Arabidopsis thaliana: one gene and its partners. The protein of the gene in region 3 interacts with the protein of the main gene of each other region in a pairwise test. Each region holds a gene or a part of one and is shown on either strand. Other genes may lie near its edges. The genes, in order: NF-YB10, RVE1, AT2G14880 and AT1G74840.

The links.
Region 1: the proteins of AT2G14880 (region 3) and NF-YB10 interact in a two-hybrid assay, tested with the Arabidopsis thaliana proteins (one large-scale study listed by BioGRID).
Region 2: the proteins of AT2G14880 (region 3) and RVE1 interact in a two-hybrid assay, tested with the Arabidopsis thaliana proteins (one large-scale study listed by BioGRID).
Region 4: the proteins of AT2G14880 (region 3) and AT1G74840 interact in a two-hybrid assay, tested with the Arabidopsis thaliana proteins (one large-scale study listed by BioGRID).

What each region holds. Positions count from the first base shown.
Region 1 is NC_003074.8:19,773,783-19,778,219, reverse strand, and holds NF-YB10 (nuclear factor Y, subunit B10), read left to right. Parts: upstream 1-1,930; 5' UTR 1,931-2,138; exon of another isoform or gene 2,139-2,218; 5' UTR 2,219-2,228; coding exon 2,229-2,452; intron 2,453-2,613; coding exon 2,614-2,743; coding exon of another isoform or gene 2,744-2,764; exon of another isoform or gene 2,765-2,851; coding exon 2,852-2,857; coding exon of another isoform or gene 2,858-2,953; exon of another isoform or gene 2,954-2,993; coding exon 2,994-3,068; intron 3,069-3,164; coding exon 3,165-3,221; intron 3,222-3,514; coding exon 3,515-3,553; 3' UTR 3,554-3,891; downstream 3,892-4,437. Other genes in the region: AT3G53342 (uncharacterized protein), read right to left, coding at 867-1,085; AT3G53330 (plastocyanin-like domain-containing protein), read right to left, coding at 4,282-4,437.
Region 2 is NC_003076.8:5,689,726-5,694,899, reverse strand, and holds RVE1 (Homeodomain-like superfamily protein), read left to right. Parts: upstream 1-1,907; 5' UTR 1,908-1,975; coding exon of another isoform or gene 1,976-2,200; 5' UTR 2,201-2,464; coding exon 2,465-2,497; intron 2,498-2,909; coding exon 2,910-3,008; intron 3,009-3,089; coding exon 3,090-3,201; exon of another isoform or gene 3,202-3,268; coding exon of another isoform or gene 3,269-3,287; coding exon 3,288-3,349; intron 3,350-3,511; coding exon 3,512-3,826; intron 3,827-3,922; coding exon 3,923-4,465; 3' UTR 4,466-4,674; downstream 4,675-5,174. Other genes in the region: AT5G17305 (uncharacterized protein), read right to left, coding at 1,976-2,200; autophagy protein Apg5 family, read left to right, coding at 5,079-5,174. UniProt on the Arabidopsis thaliana protein: Morning-phased transcription factor integrating the circadian clock and auxin pathways. Binds to the evening element (EE) of promoters. Does not act within the central clock, but regulates free auxin levels in a time-of-day specific manner.
Region 3 is NC_003071.7:6,392,755-6,396,686, forward strand, and holds AT2G14880 (SWIB/MDM2 domain superfamily protein), read right to left. Parts: upstream 2,247-3,932; 5' UTR 2,088-2,246; coding exon 1,779-2,087; coding exon of another isoform or gene 1,770-1,778; exon of another isoform or gene 1,598-1,769; intron 1,049-1,597; coding exon 932-1,048; 3' UTR 556-931; downstream 1-555.
Region 4 is NC_003070.9:28,114,905-28,119,031, forward strand, and holds AT1G74840 (Homeodomain-like superfamily protein), read right to left. Parts: upstream 2,519-4,127; 5' UTR 2,414-2,518; coding exon 2,131-2,413; intron 1,968-2,130; coding exon 1,759-1,967; intron 1,603-1,758; coding exon 1,297-1,602; 3' UTR 539-1,296; downstream 1-538. Other genes in the region: AT1G74830 (myosin-binding protein, putative (Protein of unknown function, DUF593)), read right to left, coding at 1-289.

The DNA of each region.
Region 1 (4,437 bases), on a different chromosome or scaffold from region 3:
TAAAATTTGACTCAACCTCTTTATTTCAAAACCTACGAAAGTCACATAAAATTTTGTTTTTAAAGATATTTAGTTAAATATATATATATATATATATATATATATATATGTATATCCATTAATACTATGTTTATATCCTCTATTAAAATATCGGACATGTTCATAAAATAGCAGGTTGAAGACACCGGGTTCCCATGTCGAACCACTAAAGTGAAGCTAAAGGCCTTTGACACCATTTACTAAACTTTGAAACTTTGACTATGGTTGTGACTCGAATAGTTAAAACACAAATAGCTGGAGAAAAAATTAGAACCATGACATTAATAATTAAATAAAATATACATCACAGATGAGCATCGAGCAAGACATATATGATTTGCTTACCTATTACCTTCATCATGAACAGAAATTCTCAGTGTAATGATTGCTAAGAAATTCTTAGTGTAATAATTTTTAAGCCACTTTGTATCTACCATTGCACCTATAAAAGGATGTATTAGCAAAAACACATGAAACATGTTATAAAGAAGAGAAGTAACAAAGTGTGAATCAGTATCACCACATTTGGACGATACAAAAGCTACACAAAACAAATATTAAAATTATAAAAATGAGAGAGAGAAACTTGATTTTAGTTCATTTCTTTAGTGAAAATGAGAAAAATAAAAAACAACGTAATACAGAGGACGAAGCAAACCTTTGAGATTACCATTCTTTGGTTTCTCCAATCCGTCATACTCATATGGTTCGTGCTTTGTCTTTTTTTCTCTTTACTTTCAATTTAATTATGTGGAAAGACTTAGCAGACCACAAAATATTATTTCGATGTTTAAACAATCCCGAAAGCAACACAGAATGATAGAAGTTTAAAAGGAGTTGTAAGAAACAAACCTTGAGGAACCGATGTTAATGTTGTTCCTATGAAGAATCCTACCAGGAGCAACGTCACCACCATCGATCAACTCTCTAAGCCCCCAATTCTCCACCTCCTCTTCTTTCACCTCCTTCTTCTTCTCCTTCTCCACATGGCGGTTATTAGGAAGCTTCACAGGCAACCTCTCGAAGTAATTCCCGAAACTTACCATGCACGTTTTTATTATCTTCGTATAGAAAGAATGAAGCTTCAACCTCAAGCGTTAACAAATGCAGAGAAACCAACTTAAAAAAAACTGACATGCAGCGTCTTGCATTTTATAAGGTGAAGGGTTACACTAAAAATGATATTAAATATGATACTAAATATTGAAATCATGGTCATAATTACATAAATGATAATTATGTTAGTGTAACGTAACTGCTTTGATTTATGAAATAGAACAGTTTAGTTGACTAAAAAAAAAACAGCAATAGTTAGACATAATAAATAAAAGAAAACGTGATATCACATGTGTCATTAAATAGAATATTAATTAAACTCAAAGAATATGGAAAATAGTATATTTAAATTTAAGAAGAATGACACATGTCGAATGAATAAAGCGCCACTTGTAAGATTTTTAGAGCACAAGTTTGAGGAAACCTTACTTTATTATATAAGATACTAGGTTTTATTACAAAACTAATACTATTTTGATTCCAAACAAATATATATTTGCTTAAATGACAGAATAAAAACTGAATAAAACAATAAAGATAACAAGAAAAACAGTAAACCACTTAAATAATTAAATTAGACAATTAAATAAGTAGAAATTACATGTCACTGAGAAAAACCACTTATCATAACAACTATTTAGATAAATTAAATCCACTTACATAAATACAATGTATATAAAAAAGAAATCATGTTTTTTTACTATAGTTTACATGATAGAAGAAAAAAATTCACTACATTGAAATAAATCTTATATATTTTATTTCACCTAATTACTAAAAAAAGCAGAACAAAGAAACATTGTTGAGGAAAAAACAAAAGAGTTTTTTTTGTTTGTTTGGTTTTGTCAAATTAACAAAAAAAAAATGAACGGTGTCGATAAAAAAATAAAAAAGCCCTAAATCGTTGAATCGCATACAAGCTCCTATCTTCTCCAGCGTCGGATCAGATCAGATCAAATCTCTCTCTCCATCTCCGTCTCCTCCTCCAATCATCATTTCTCTCTCCGTCTCCCGCTCTTTTTCGAATTCTCCTTCTTCTTCAGGTATTCTAATCACTTCTTCGCGCTTTCTGGGTTTGGTTCCTCGATTCTCCCGATTTCCCAATCTCTACCTGATTATCTAGGGTTTCTGAGATGGCCGAATCGCAAACCGGTGGTGGTGGTGGTGGAAGCCATGAGAGTGGCGGTGATCAGAGCCCGAGGTCTTTGAATGTTCGTGAGCAGGACAGGTTTCTTCCGATTGCTAACATAAGCCGTATCATGAAGAGAGGTTTACCTCTAAATGGCAAAATCGCTAAAGATGCTAAAGAGACTATGCAGGAATGTGTCTCTGAATTCATCAGCTTCGTCACCAGCGAGTAATTTCTTTCTCTACTTTCTCAAAAATGTTACCTTTTTGTTGCTTTGGTGGTTATAGCGTGTAAAGCCCTCTTCTTTGTTAAGTTAGATTGATGTTATATTCATTGGGTTGTTAAGCAAAGTCACTATGTCGATTTTGGAATATTGTTTTGCCTTTTAGGGCTAGTGATAAGTGCCAAAGAGAGAAAAGGAAGACCATCAATGGAGATGATTTGCTTTGGGCTATGGCCACTTTAGGATTCGAAGATTACATCGATCCCCTCAAGGTTTACCTGATGCGATATAGAGAGGTATGTTCCACTTCAGATTAGTCAGTTTACATTCTGCTATACATTCACTGACTCTCTGTTTTTCCTTCTCATTTCCTTGTCTATGCTATTTGGATTGGAATTTTGCAGATGGAGGTTCGTGGTTCTCCTCTTTCATTTATCTTTCTGATAGTCGAATTTTGTACGTGGATCCTTTTATGGGGTATATGGTGTATGATTGTATCTAATTAGGATTGTCTGCTACCCTTTGCTATTGTTATCTGTCTGATAGGGTGACACTAAAGGATCAGGAAAAGGCGGGGAATCGAGTGCAAAGAGAGATGGTCAACCAAGCCAAGTGTCTCAGGTAATGACTCGGTCTTCTCCAGTTGATATGGTCGTTTACCTAAGCATTAGCTTCTCCAGCTAATTTATTGTTTCCCTGTCTTTACTTTCTGAACAGTTCTCGCAGGTTCCTCAACAAGGCTCATTCTCACAGGGTCCTTATGGAAACTCTCAAGTAAGTGTTTTCCGACAAAAGAAATGTTGATACTTATAAATGAATTCATTCTCTACATAGAGCAGAGCCGGGGTATAAAGAGAGAATATTATTAACAATTAAAGGATTTAAGGACTTTAATAGACTCGATAAAACCGTCATATATGCATTATCCACTTTTTGAAATCTAGACATAGGTTCTCATATGTTCCAGTCTCTGAGGTTCGGCAATAGCATCGAGCATCTTGAAGTGTTAATGGTATTTGTAATCTATCAATATGCAGATAATTGATTAAACTCGTTTGTGAATGTAGGGTTCGAATATGATGGTTCAAATGCCGGGCACAGAGTAGTACTAGGACACTATTCATCACAATCTTCCGAGACTCGACTATGCCTGTTGTGTCTGAGAATCTGAGTGATCCACTTTCCATAGATATGGATTGTGGTATCTCAGTTTTTGGGAGAGAGAAGATTTGTATATGATTGTGTTGTAGGGAGAAGAGTTTGGTTTGCTTATGATAAGAATTGAAAAGCACCTTTTTTTTCTTTTGACTGTTATGTTTCTTAGGTTTTGGTCTTAAGCAGAAGCTATTTATCACCACTTCATTGGCCTGTTGATTCTTTCATGCAAGTGAGCCCGTAACTTTTATAAAACAACATCATGATTTATAATTATCTCTTTGATTTTTTGGTCCTAAATTCGAGTTTCATTTGACATCATCCATTGATAAAAAGAAACGAAACTTGATATTGAATCGTTGTGGTGTGGTAAAATTCACGATCTAAGTTTGTGATAACACTCCGTTTATCTGTTGGTGTATATTGATAAGGCTTTCTGTTACTGCTCAGAATCTAACACATGGGACATGTGAATGTCATATGGAACATGTTCATGTTTATGGGCCTAATCTTGATCAAACAAAAATAAAAACTTTGAAATTTAAGAAAAACTGAATAACAGAATCTAAATGAAACAATAGTAAGAATAAAAAGACCAAAAACTCTTTAAAAGAGCAAAACCAAAACCTAAAACTCTTGAACTAAACTCAATGCTTAGTGATGAGGTCTGAAAGGGTAACTACCATCTGTTGACGGTAGGTGACAACTTCTTCTTGGGAACATTCGGGAAAGTAACAGCTTCGGTTGATGGTTGCACCGTGACTCGAAGCTTAATCCCAGCCTGACAAAGACCGGTCTTTAAGCTTACAAAATAATGCACTCCTGGTTTAGTGAG
Region 2 (5,174 bases), on a different chromosome or scaffold from region 3:
AAATGAATAAGAAACAAATAAAAAGAAAACTAGTGGCTAGAACCCTCCTTCTCGTCATTCCACATGTCAAGTTTCTGTAGAACAGACGGCTAAAATAAGAATCAGTGACATGGAGAAAAGTGCACTGACATTCACTAATTATTAGTATTAGTACTATATTATAAATTAAAGTGTAATTACTTTCACTTCCACCGAGGATGACTTTTACAATTTGAGGAGTATATTAAATTATGTGCTTAACAATGATTTCAATAAAATATCTACACATTTGTGAAAATTGATGACGACCTGGACGATGGATAATCATATTAATTCGAGAAAGTTGAAACTAATTATAAATATCATAGATAGATTCGTATCTGTATATATTATATTATATGGTATGTATACGTAGACTTACGTTATGGATAGACCCCCACCATGTTTTTATATAGAGGCAGAAGATATTTAACTTATGGTTTTCGTTTTTTCGTAAAATATGAAACAAAGACAACGACAAAACGAAAAAGAACCAAAAATAGTATCTCATTCTACTTTCACTTGATTTTGGAATTTCATTTATTTAGATTGTGATTCAAAACCATTTCAACTATGTAAAATTCTGTGCAATATTTTTCCCAACTAAACATATAAGTTTGACATGAAAAAGAATATAGGAAAATTTAGAGGTCCAAATTTTATATGTATATCGGAATCATGGTAGGATACGTTATCAATTGCATTTGTATGAGGCTTGCTATTGCTAGTATAGAAGCATCATCAACAAATCTTAATATCAGTCCAAATTTGAATAACCCATTTTGTGGATCTCATTTCATAAAATAAACCATTTTAGTGTCCTGCAAAAATGTGTTTAGACAGAAATCTTTTTTAAAATCTGAATTTAGATATTATGATGGTTATAATTTATATATAAATTTACTATCAAATATTGTGTTCATATATGGAAGAATGGAGAAAAAAGAGTAGAACCCCACAAAATAAAAAATGGATAGACTATGTTTTCTAAGATTGGACAAAGTGTATAATAAAATCTTCTGATCTGGTCCAAAAATAAAATGTTAAGAGTTTTCGAATTCGAATAATTTGATTTTGATTAAGATATCCACTTCGGATATGTTTTCATATGTAGCTTTTTAAAATACCCTAATAAATATTTTCATAAAGAGTTTATGTAAATAAATCAAAATATATTTTTAACTTTTTATTTATTATAGTTTTATATATTACTGTTTTAATTATTTTGAAGTATTTTTGATAGATATGGATTTGGATGGTTCCGCAAACAAATCCTATGGATCCGGATCCAAAGAACCAATCATAAATTTTGGAATATGTCCACCCATATATGGATCAATAGAGATATAGTTAAGAAAAGAAAATGAATTTATCCCGCAAATTTACATTTTTATCTCATGTAGTGGAACCAATGAAAAGCGAGTAAGCTAAGAAGTCATACTCTCGAGAGTACGCCTTTCCATATTTTCCTTTAAAAGTATCTTCTGGTGGCTCACATTTCTCCGTCCAGCAAAATCTTTTTTGTTACATAAATATTATATTTCCTGATATTTTATATTAAAAGATTATCCAATTGAAATGATGTCAAAAAAGGAAAGGAAAAGTAGGGGAATTAAATAAATACATACAGTGATAATCGAAGTACCAAATCTAACTGTTTTAAAACAAGTAGATTCATTTTAAAAAATTAAATATTTGATTTTTCAAAGAGATAAATGAATAAATCTAGTACAAATTTTGTTGCAAAAAAAGAAGATGAAGAATATGAGAAAGAGCGACACGTGGCAAAGATGGACATTGAACGTGAGCCACAAGATTTTCCATCTGTTTCTCGAGCGTTCCATGGAAAACCAATAAGAATTATTATTTTTATTTTTTAAAAATTGGGAAAAAGCGCACATAGCAGAAGCTGACGTGGCATCACCCTCCTTTTTGTCTTCCCTATTTTCTCACCCCCCTAATTCCCTTCTTCCTCCTTCACAGACCCCAAACTCTTCTCTTCTTCTTCTTTCTCTCTGTTTTCTTCTTCTTCCGCCGAATCAGAAAGCTTGTCTTTTTCTTTACTCCGGCTACCAAAACTTCTCGGAGTTTCTCTGAGAGTTTCATTTCCGACCTTCTTCTTATCCTTATTTGCGGCAAGATTTCCAGCGAGAGTTTTTTTCTCTTTTCCTTTATCGAACATAAGAAATCTCTGGTTTGCTGGAAGTTTTTTTTCCGGAAGGTGGAAGCTTAGATTGGTTCTGATTTCAGAAGCAAATCGTTTGTTGTTGCCTAAGTAAACCGAATCAATTTATGGGATCTATAGAAACAGACGGAGAACAGAGGAAATTAAGCTGATTTTTTCAAGTCTAGATTCGCGAATTTATCTTGGTGTTTCCTTTTCTGTGTTCCACACCTTTCGAGTTTTTTTTTGTTTTCCTCCGCCGAGATCTTAATCCGGGAAGTTATGGCGTCGTCTCCGTTGACTGCAAATGTTCAGGTCTGGTCTCAAAATTTGATTTTTATCCACTTTTTTTGTTTTGTTTCTGCTTTATTCAGGTCTGGTCTCAAATGAATCTATGAGTTTAAAATACTGTATACGGACATTTAAGTAATAAAGCTTAGAGTTAAAGCAAGTTCGTTGCAATTCATTTGCAGACTCTTGTTTCTTTTGAGCTATAAGTTCTCTCTAGATTTGTGTGTTGCAACTACATTCATTTGAATCCTTGAGATGGAATCGACTGTGTTGGAATTTTGTGATTAGGATATGTAAATCGAGTTTAATTAGTTGGACTTTGTGAATGAATGTTCATTGAGAAACTGAAGAAGAAAGTAAATAATCCAATGCCACTTTGTGTCATAGTCCTTAAAATGATGTTTCCTAAAGTCGTTTTGCTTGATGATGGCTTTAGGGTACCAACGCTTCTTTGAGGAATAGAGATGAAGAAACTGCAGACAAGCAGATACAATTCAATGACCAAAGTTTTGGGGGAAATGACTATGCACCCAAGGTTTGTTTCTTTTAACATCAAATGTCAAATATTGTTATGTAAAGTGAAGATCTGTGGCTCAGTTCATCTTTTCTTACTTAGGTACGGAAGCCATACACGATAACAAAAGAGAGAGAGAGATGGACAGATGAAGAGCACAAGAAGTTTGTTGAAGCCTTGAAATTATACGGGCGAGCTTGGAGACGAATAGAAGGTAAATTAATGATTTAGTAATATCTCTTGCTACTGAGTTATGGCCTTACCTGGACCCTCAAAAATATATGTTTGTTTCACTAACAGAACATGTGGGCTCAAAGACCGCAGTTCAGATTCGAAGCCATGCTCAGAAGTTTTTCTCTAAGGTTTATACACTTATTTGCTATTATATCTTTACCCTTGTTCAAAGAAAGTATCAGTCTAATCTCTGTAGCAAACCTAAGTTCTGCATAAATAAGGAATCATTATACATACATTGTTTGGAGACTTGTGTTCTGACTTGGCTTTGTTCTGTTGTATTCACACAGGTTGCTCGAGAAGCAACTGGAGGTGATGGGAGCTCAGTAGAGCCGATTGTAATACCTCCTCCTCGTCCCAAGAGAAAGCCAGCGCATCCGTACCCTCGTAAGTTTGGGAACGAGGCAGATCAAACAAGTAGATCGGTTTCTCCCTCAGAACGTGATACTCAATCTCCAACCTCTGTGTTGTCCACTGTTGGATCAGAAGCATTGTGTTCCCTTGATTCGAGTTCACCCAATCGAAGCTTGTCCCCAGTTTCTTCTGCATCACCACCAGCTGCTCTTACAACCACTGCAAATGCACCTGAAGAGCTTGAGACTCTGGTACTTGACATAAACAAAACCGAATTTATACTTAACAGCAATACCTGCTGTTAGATGCTTAATGCTTAATATTCTTGGTTTAATCAATTTGTACAGAAGCTGGAGTTGTTTCCTAGTGAGAGACTCTTAAACAGGGAGAGCTCGATCAAGGAACCAACGAAGCAAAGTCTTAAACTCTTTGGGAAGACAGTTTTGGTATCTGATTCAGGCATGTCCTCTTCTCTAACAACTTCAACATATTGTAAATCCCCAATTCAGCCATTACCACGGAAACTCTCATCATCCAAGACACTACCCATAATAAGAAACTCACAAGAAGAACTCTTGAGCTGCTGGATACAAGTCCCTCTTAAGCAAGAAGATGTGGAAAATAGATGTTTGGATTCAGGAAAGGCTGTCCAAAACGAAGGATCATCGACTGGATCAAACACTGGTTCGGTGGATGATACGGGACACACGGAAAAGACCACAGAACCCGAAACAATGCTATGTCAATGGGAGTTTAAACCAAGTGAGAGGTCTGCATTTTCTGAGCTCAGAAGAACAAACTCCGAGTCAAATTCAAGAGGATTTGGTCCATACAAGAAGAGAAAGATGGTAACAGAAGAAGAAGAGCATGAGATTCATCTCCACTTATAACACATTTTCTTACGTACCCTAAAGAAGAGACTTTAAATTTACTATTCATTCGACTTTCTAAGTTTTCATCAATGTAATTTTTGTTGTTGTTTCATTGTTTTCTCTTGAGGTGTTTGTTCTCTAGGCTAAAATTTTCTGCAAAAGTTTGTAACTGTAAAACTCGTGTACAATTTATACAGTTAAATCTAATGATTATGAGATCTTTCTTAATTGATGGTTCAACAAAAGCAAGTTTCAGGTGTCTCTCTTCAATATCTCCGATTAAATTAGGTTTGGTAAAGAGTTTGCTTTGAAATGAAGGCAAAGAAGAAAAACAGTGAGGTTACCACCAACTGAACAAGTGTGTGTTCAAAGTTCAAACCCAACAAATAACCGAACCGATTCGGAAACCAACTCTAACCTGAAATTTTGATAGAATTTGACCAGACCAAATTAGACCGGTTAACACCCTTTCACGTTAGCCACCAACAGATTAAGCAGTGTCTAACGTACGCCTTATTAATACCACATAAAGACGCAAGAGAAGATGACGTCATACAGAAACAGCGTCGTTTTGAAAGCTGAGTTTTTTTTGTGAAGCGAGCGAGCGTGAGAAGGTGTGACGGGGAAGAGAATGGCGAAGGAAGCGGTCAAGTATGTATGGGAAGGAGCAATTCCTCTGCAGATTCATCTCCACAAATCCGACGTCGCTTCTCACCCTGCTCCTCCT
Region 3 (3,932 bases):
GTGCTGAGTCAACTCGCAGATTTGCCCGGCGCCGACTGCTTCTCCTTCTCCTTCTTATGTGTTAACACGTGGTGTTACACGTGGTGTTACACGTGGTGGCTCCTTATTTTCTTAATCTTTTACTTTATTTAGTTTAAGATTAAGCAGTTGTTAACCTAATCAAGGATGTATATGTTGGAGAATGGGCTTATGTAATTTTCACTTCTTTGTACTGCCCATTGGGCTTCCGTTTTAATGGAATTTGGCCGACTAAAAACAAAAAAAGCCTTCTACTTTACAGATGAGAAGGAGAGACAGACAAGTTTCAATGGGCCGAACCTAAAACCCATATTTAGATATTTTGATTCCTAGTTTCACATATCTATAGGCTAAACCCAAATTAATACTAAATTATTTGATATTTGTAAATGGTAAAATGGTTAATTTTCTAGACAAAACGAGATTCAATCTATCCAGAGGTAATATGAGTTCGTAATATAGCGAGTGAAGTGAAAAATGTAAATTTTCTCGCTCTTTTGTCAACCGTTTCTAAGTATATACGTCATTAGTATCATACCACAAATCCCTGAGCCTAGTAGATATGTCTTCCAAACCTTACCTCAATCTCTTCTCAACGGAGTATGTACATGATTATAAAACGTAACTAACATGTGTGAATTTCGAAAACTAAATAAACGGAAAAACATGTTGTCAAAAGCCGTTTACCGTTAGTCAAACAAGAAAAATAGAATCTGAAATCGAAACGAAAACGCAAACAACATTAGGAAGCAACGACTACATAACATCCATTGAATTGAAGCAACCAAAAAAAAACCTAATTTACTAATCTAAGTCTTCCTCAACTTCAAATACCCTTCTCTTTTCATGGCCATAACAGGTCAACAACAAAACATAGACAATCATCCAAATAAAGTTCCGCGGAAACAATCCATCAGAGGAAGTGAGGACCGATGAGCTTTGCAATCTCTAGGAACCCAACCCGATCTCTTCCTTCGAATATCTTCTTCAGCTTCTCATCACACAGTATTTCTCTCTTGTTTTGTGGGTCCTAAAGAACAAAATTAGTCATTTAGTAAAACTTTGATGCAAGTAAAACATCTTGAAGTACCGTAGCTAAATTGGTTCTTTAAACTTTGAAACCTCAAGACATGTCAATGAGAATAATACAGAGCTTTCTACTAGAGTAAAGTTTTGGCTACTTGGTTGCTATAGACTATAAATCTTGCAGAGAAACAGCATCCACATTTAAACACTATAGAACTAGAATTTCAAGAGCTGAAAAAAGTTCCATTTCATACTTAGAGAACCTGAACCAAACAGCAACAATACCAAGAAGCAGAGATCAAAACATCAGAGATACAAAGCCAATGACAGAACATATTAGGATTTTGGTCAAACTAGGCAACAAGGTTCAAGAACATAGCCCAGAGAAGATTATTAGTTATCTCTAAGGATACACATAGCCAAGCAAGTAAACGAGACGCAATCAAAGAATCAAATTTGCTTATACAAAACGTTATAAACAACTACCCCCAAAATCATATGAAGCAATTAGTCACCAAAATATTTTCAGCTTCCTAATCTAAAGAAAACTTACAAGTTACATAACTAACAAGAAGACAACCTAATTCAATTTCTGTCTTCTTGAATCCAGACCGTTCAATTTTCCTACAGAAACCCTAAAATATCAAACCACCGGATTGAAGAAAGCGAAACAAAACCATAAGAGAAACCAAAACCAGAGTGTTTCTGAGAGAGATTCTTGGTTGTTAAGTTACCTGAAGGTCATGTTCTTTGATGTAAGCCCAAATACGCTTAAGAGCTTGTGTGCGAGCGATTTCAGGAAGTTCGACGATGTCTTGCATCTCTGGTGAAACTGGTCTAGGTTTCATGATACCGCGTGGCACTCTCTTATTGGTTGCGGTTGGCTCTGAAGATTCCGTCGCAGATGTTACCGCTCGAACCAAGCGTAGTTTAGCCGCCGGGTGAGAGGCGAACCGGAGAGAGGACAGAGGAGTTGATGGGTTGCGGAAAGATGTCGTTTTGATGCAGAGGAAAGTGGAGAATGTTCCAGAAGAAACCGCCATTTTCGGTGTGCTTTGTCTGTGTGGTGGTGGAATTGGGAAGGTGAAAGGGGTTTTGTGTTATCCCTTTTGCTTTTTGGTTTTTATTTTTTTTATTCTTAGTATTGGAGTTTTGTCTTCATCGAGGAGAAACACTATTTATTGTCTTTTATTTTTTCTAATGGACAAATTGTTAAAAGAAAACCTTAGGGAAATTTTTGGTTAAATACAAAATTTATGCGGGTTAAAAATATAAATATTTTTAGAATCTAAAACTTTATGATAAAAAAAATAATTGACGGTCAAAAAGAACTGAAAATATAAAATTAGAAGTGAAAACTTCAAAAAATTTAAAATAAAATCGATAAAATGGAGACATATCAAACTAACTAAAGAAATCAGAATTTTTTTAAAAAATTGATAGAATGTATCGAAGATGTCTTTGGCCAACAATCATACAAATCCTTCTCTTAAGAAGCCAAACTTTATAAGCGTAGTACAACTTTTTAAACTATGCTTCATAACCTGGCAAGAAAAACTACTTAGAGTTCCAAGCTAAACCATAGAACCACACCAATACACCATAGAAGCAGATTTCGATCATATATAAAATATAGAGACGAGAAGCAACAGATCAAAACTAGATAACATCAATCTTGAATGATCAAGAAAACTAAATGATTGAACCTATGTAAACCCTAGTGAACAATAGAATATCCAAAGATATAGCAGCGGCCGGCCTGAACATCTCGACCATCAAACCAACTATCAATATCACATAGTAAAAGATAAAACCGATATTCTTATTGAAAATACCTAGAAAATTACGACAACTAATCTTCTAAAATCCGAGACCTTGCCTGATCAAACTCCTCAACCGTGGAAGTAGATGAAATGCTATTCGATAAACATCACTGAAATTGTTAGCCTCGTCAGAAACTATGTTTTCCTCAGAAAAATTATAGTCGGAGGTTTTTTTTGCCCTCAACTGTTGTCGCTAACCAAACGAAAAAAAAAAAAAAAAAATAGGTTTTCTTTAATTTAATATTTTCTGTTTTTTCTTTCATTTTTAATTCAAAATGGCAATAATAGTGAATATACAAATTTTTATGGCTATAAGATCTTTTTCAAAACATATATATGTGCTATTATAGTTACCAACATCTTGACTAAGCTTTTGGAGTCATTACTTTACTTGTATGTGCTATTAGACATAATGTCTCCAAAAAATGGGTTATAATAATCTTAATACCCAAAAAACTTAAACATAAGAACATATCTATTTTTTGTATAATTAGTTCTCTCTCAACAATTTGTATAAGTTGGAAAAATACATACTTTCACAAATCACAAATTGTTTAGCAATAGAAACAAATAGATATCGACGTTTTAATCTGATTCTGGATATATTGGTTATTAAATACAAGAGTAAAAACATATTGTGAGTTAGATGATTATCTATCGGGTTATCATGATAACAAAGTATATATCAATAAGTTTATAATTTATGTGCTAAATTTATATTTATCGAGTTAACTCATTTATCATATCATATGAAGAACAAAATAACGAGTTATATAAGGTATAATATTTGTGTGGCAGATAACTATTTGATTAATATGTTAACTAGTATAGTAATATAATAAATTTAATTTATCAAAAAAAATTAAAGAAAAAAGATTGTTAGATACTTGAAGTATAACGCAACACATGACTACACATGTCAAGTAAATTAAAGAATATTCAGCTTCTTGATGTATATAGATTGCATGGCCACATATAGAAAGTATATAGCGTTATGTGGTCAACATCATAAATATAGCATTTCAGATTAACCGGTCGACTAACTCCAGCGTTGACCAACAAAAT
Region 4 (4,127 bases), on a different chromosome or scaffold from region 3:
CGTTGTAATAGAATTGAGGGTCTCTAGGGACGAGAATGTGGTCGATTCTGGTGCAGAGAAGACAAGGAATGTTGAGGTCGAAGAATTTGGCGAATTGGTTTGACAGAAAGGCGATAACGCCGTCGATGAAGAGGAAAACAATGAGGCTCCATTCAAGAACAGTGTAGATGAGGAAATGAGGAAGAGATCCGAGTTCTTGTTCCACAAATTTCTTGAAAGAACGTTTAGACATTGTGGCTTGTAAAAGCAGAAACAAGAACAAGAAAAAACAGAGCAATTGTATATACATAGGAGATCGAATTTTGGTCAAAGATCAACAAAGAACAGAGATCATGATCTATCTATCTCAATCTTTTGTGATTTGTGTTTCTATTTCTGGGTTTAGAGAGTCTAGATTGGGCTGGAATTTGATGAGATAAAGTACCCAAAAACAAAGGATAGTCGCAGATTTGAAATTGATAAATTTAGAGACAATGTCAAAAGACAGAGAGATACAAAACAAACAAAGATAAACTGGATTCGTTTTTTTTTTTTTTTTCCCCGCTTAGACGTGAGGAGAAGTTTGTCGTTGACGCTAAAACTGAATACAACCATACACGACAGAAACAGAGGACATGCCAACACACACATGACATACACATATACATCATCATCATATAAAAATGATGCTGTTTGATTGGTCGATTAATGAATGGGGATCATGTTCTGTGATTGGAAGATTATTGCTTACGCAACAGGGGTAATATGTAATCATCCCACACAAAATATATTAAAAGCATCTGATGGGAAAAGAAAAAGCTCCACTATGATGGAAGTGACCAATAAAATTTGACATTATTGGCATCATTAAAGATAATGACATTATTCTACAAACATAAAATATCTTATCCTTGGAAATCAGATATATTATAAAAACCCTAAAACCCCATGAATCATCTAACATGATTTAGATAGCCACATGATAAGCAAGTACTACGACTCTGTTTATGATTGAGATCATGAATAAAACAAACATAACGTTAATATGATTTATAAGTTTTGATAGATCCACACGAATGAACTTAGAGAGTATTACAACAACTTCCAAACATGGAAGGAAAAACACAGGATGATTATGAACCCTAAAACCCCACTTAAGTCCTATCTCCAAACTCTGTTTATTATTCTTCTTTTCAACAGATTTTTTTTAGCCAAATACATAAATTTGACGAATTTTTTTATAACAAAGTCAAGACCTATCTGTACAGCAAAGAAACAAACAGGGTGTGTTGCAGATTTTCACCTTTAGGATAAGCTCTAAGCGACTCCAATCGTGTTGAATGCTGGATGCATTGAAGGAGATGGTTCATTAAGATTAGATGAAGCTAGTGAGAGGTTGAGAGAAAGCGGTGCTGGACTTGACTGAAAAGTTAATGGAACCAAATTGATGAGATTCGATGAAGTAAGCTGTCCGTATGATTGATTCCCTGTTGGTACCGGGAACTCGGGAAAGACTTGCATAACCGGATGTATAGAGAAGTTGTTGATTTCCGGTACAGGAGAAGATGATTGAGATGTGTTCTCCTGTATAAGCACTTGGTGATCTTCTTCCATGGGTATGACCTGATAACAAAACCAAGCAAAATCAGTTTTGTTATACTTAAGTTTTCACTAACCAACAATTCACAAAGGCTCTCTATTAGTTTCTTTTAAACAACTAAGCTAAAAACTAAACCTAACCACTTAACTTACTAGAGTCACAAAGGATTAGAGATTTACCGTATCAGTAGTCATGTCAAAAAGGCTAGATCTTCGGCGGCGACGGTTAAGATTACTTCGCCTGAGGAAGTATTTCTGAGCATGACTAGCAACTTGTGTAGAGGTTCTGGTCTTGACAAAGTTTCTTGATATTCCTTTCCAATCTCCTTTACCGACTCTCTGCAGCCCAAGCAAGAACAGCTTGTGTTCTTCTTCAGTCCATGGAACTCCTAAGAAATAGAAAGAAACCCAATAAATTAGCCATCTTTCTAAATCCAAATGAACATAAAGTTGTTCATAGTCCATTTCTCAAACCATATCTAACAAATCCCTAAGTTTAAAGTGATCAAATTTATGGAATGATAAAAAAAAGTTTCAATCGAAGAGTAATACCTCGTTTCCTCTCGATTTTGCCGTTAGAAGAAGACATGGGAAGAGCTTCATCCGCCGAGGCGTAACCGGCCGGGGTTTTGTTCATATCTTGTTCATCTCTATCTTCGCCGTCGATCTTTGGAGTCTCCGCCGTCTGTTCATAGTCAGACAGATTGTTCAAACTCACGCACTTTCTCATCGGGTCAAGCACAACCCTGACTCCGAACAGCATAATCTCTCTTCTTGTGCCGCTTCCAGCGCAGGCGGTAGTGGACTCCGAAGAACTAGTACTACCGTCGGCCATGATAATCTTTCCGATTTTGCCCCTTGTGCTTTCTTTCTCCTAAAGAAGCAAAGTACACAGAGCAATGGGCAATGGAGTGGTGTGAGTTAGATCTGAGCTTCTTTGGGGACCCTTTTATAAGCCAAAAGCCACGTGGTTCCTTTTTAAACTATTACATGTTGTAGGTGTTGGTGACGGTACCATATGACACGTGTTTTGTTTTTATTCGTCTGTTCTTGTATTTTTTTCTTACCTGCCTGTCTCTCTACAGAGTTTTCATTTGGATAGACTTTTTTTATTCATTGGCTGACTAGATTTATTAGGTTTTTTGTTAGTAGTTTAATTAATCTTATAGGATGACGAAAAAAGAGTTAAATAAATGTTATCCTATAATAAGAAGTTAAAAAAGTATTTCGCTATGTCGACCAAAAAATGTAGGTCGTATAACGAAGAAATATTTATTGACTTTCGCAAACTCAAAGTTAAATACAAAAAAATGAAATAACAGAATGAGAAAAATGAAATGAAATCGACGCTTTTATTTTTCTTAACGTTACCCTCATGTATTTTTATGATAAAAATCTACAGGTTATAATGTACTGGTCAACGCAATGTCTCTAAGGCCTAAGCGCATGCAACTTGAGCTTAGAAAAATAGTCAGCTTCTGAAATGATTCTGTACTCTGCTCTAATAATCTATTTAGTTACAGCTCCATCCTTGTACTTTTTTTTCTTCTAAAATACTATATCTTGTGGATCTATGAGTTGATTATTAAGAAAAAAATCTTGGGAGACAGGTGAATCCTTTTTGGAAATTATAACTTTGAATTTCAACACAAAAACTTACAATTTCAGGAATCTAATTCAACAACAAAAATGATTGTGTAGTCGAATTTGTCGTTTTCTAGCTAAGAGTAAATTTTAAGACGCTGTTAAGGACCTAATTGTAGTATAAACAGCATGATCGTATGTCCAGACTTGATCACAACTATATAGCATTAAAAAACAAAAAGGTGATAGTTTTAGTCTTTTAGTAGAATGTTAGGATGTGATTTGACTGTAAGCAATATGATCACATACTATTATTATTTATCTATTTTAGATTTGTAGGGAAAAGATTCTAAAAAGTATTTACAAAATTTGGTAAATAGTTTTGGAAGACAGCAAAATCACACAAAGCACTAGCATCGGTTAGAAAGCAAAGCCACCATTACTTTTATGCGCACACAAAGTGGAATCTTAAAGTTGTAATGTGTGAAGCACTATAGGAAGATCCTTTCTTTCTCCAATCTTTTTCTTATTTTATTACCAATTTGGATGACAAACTTGTAGTGACTTTCCTAAATCAGAAAACAAACACATATCTGAGGACGAGAGAGAGAAAAAGATTAATCAGACCGAAGAAGGAATCTTGCACAACAGATTGTTTTCTTTATTCTGGGTGGAGTTGGGTCATTGCTATGTAATAAGTTAGATTTCGAAACAGAGAGAGTTCATCAGGTGAGGTCACAAGCAAAAACTAGAGCTTCCCTGAGGAATCTTGATTAATAGATCCTTTAATTGTAACTAGAGCTTTGATCTTACATTAGCATTTAGCTTTATAGTAATCAAAAACATAGTTGAATGGAAAAAAAAACGAAAAAAAATCTATGGCTGCAAAATCATGGGTCTAACAATCCATCAAAACACTTAGTTGGCTACTTACTTGAGATTTTCATATAGACGCTTCTTCATAT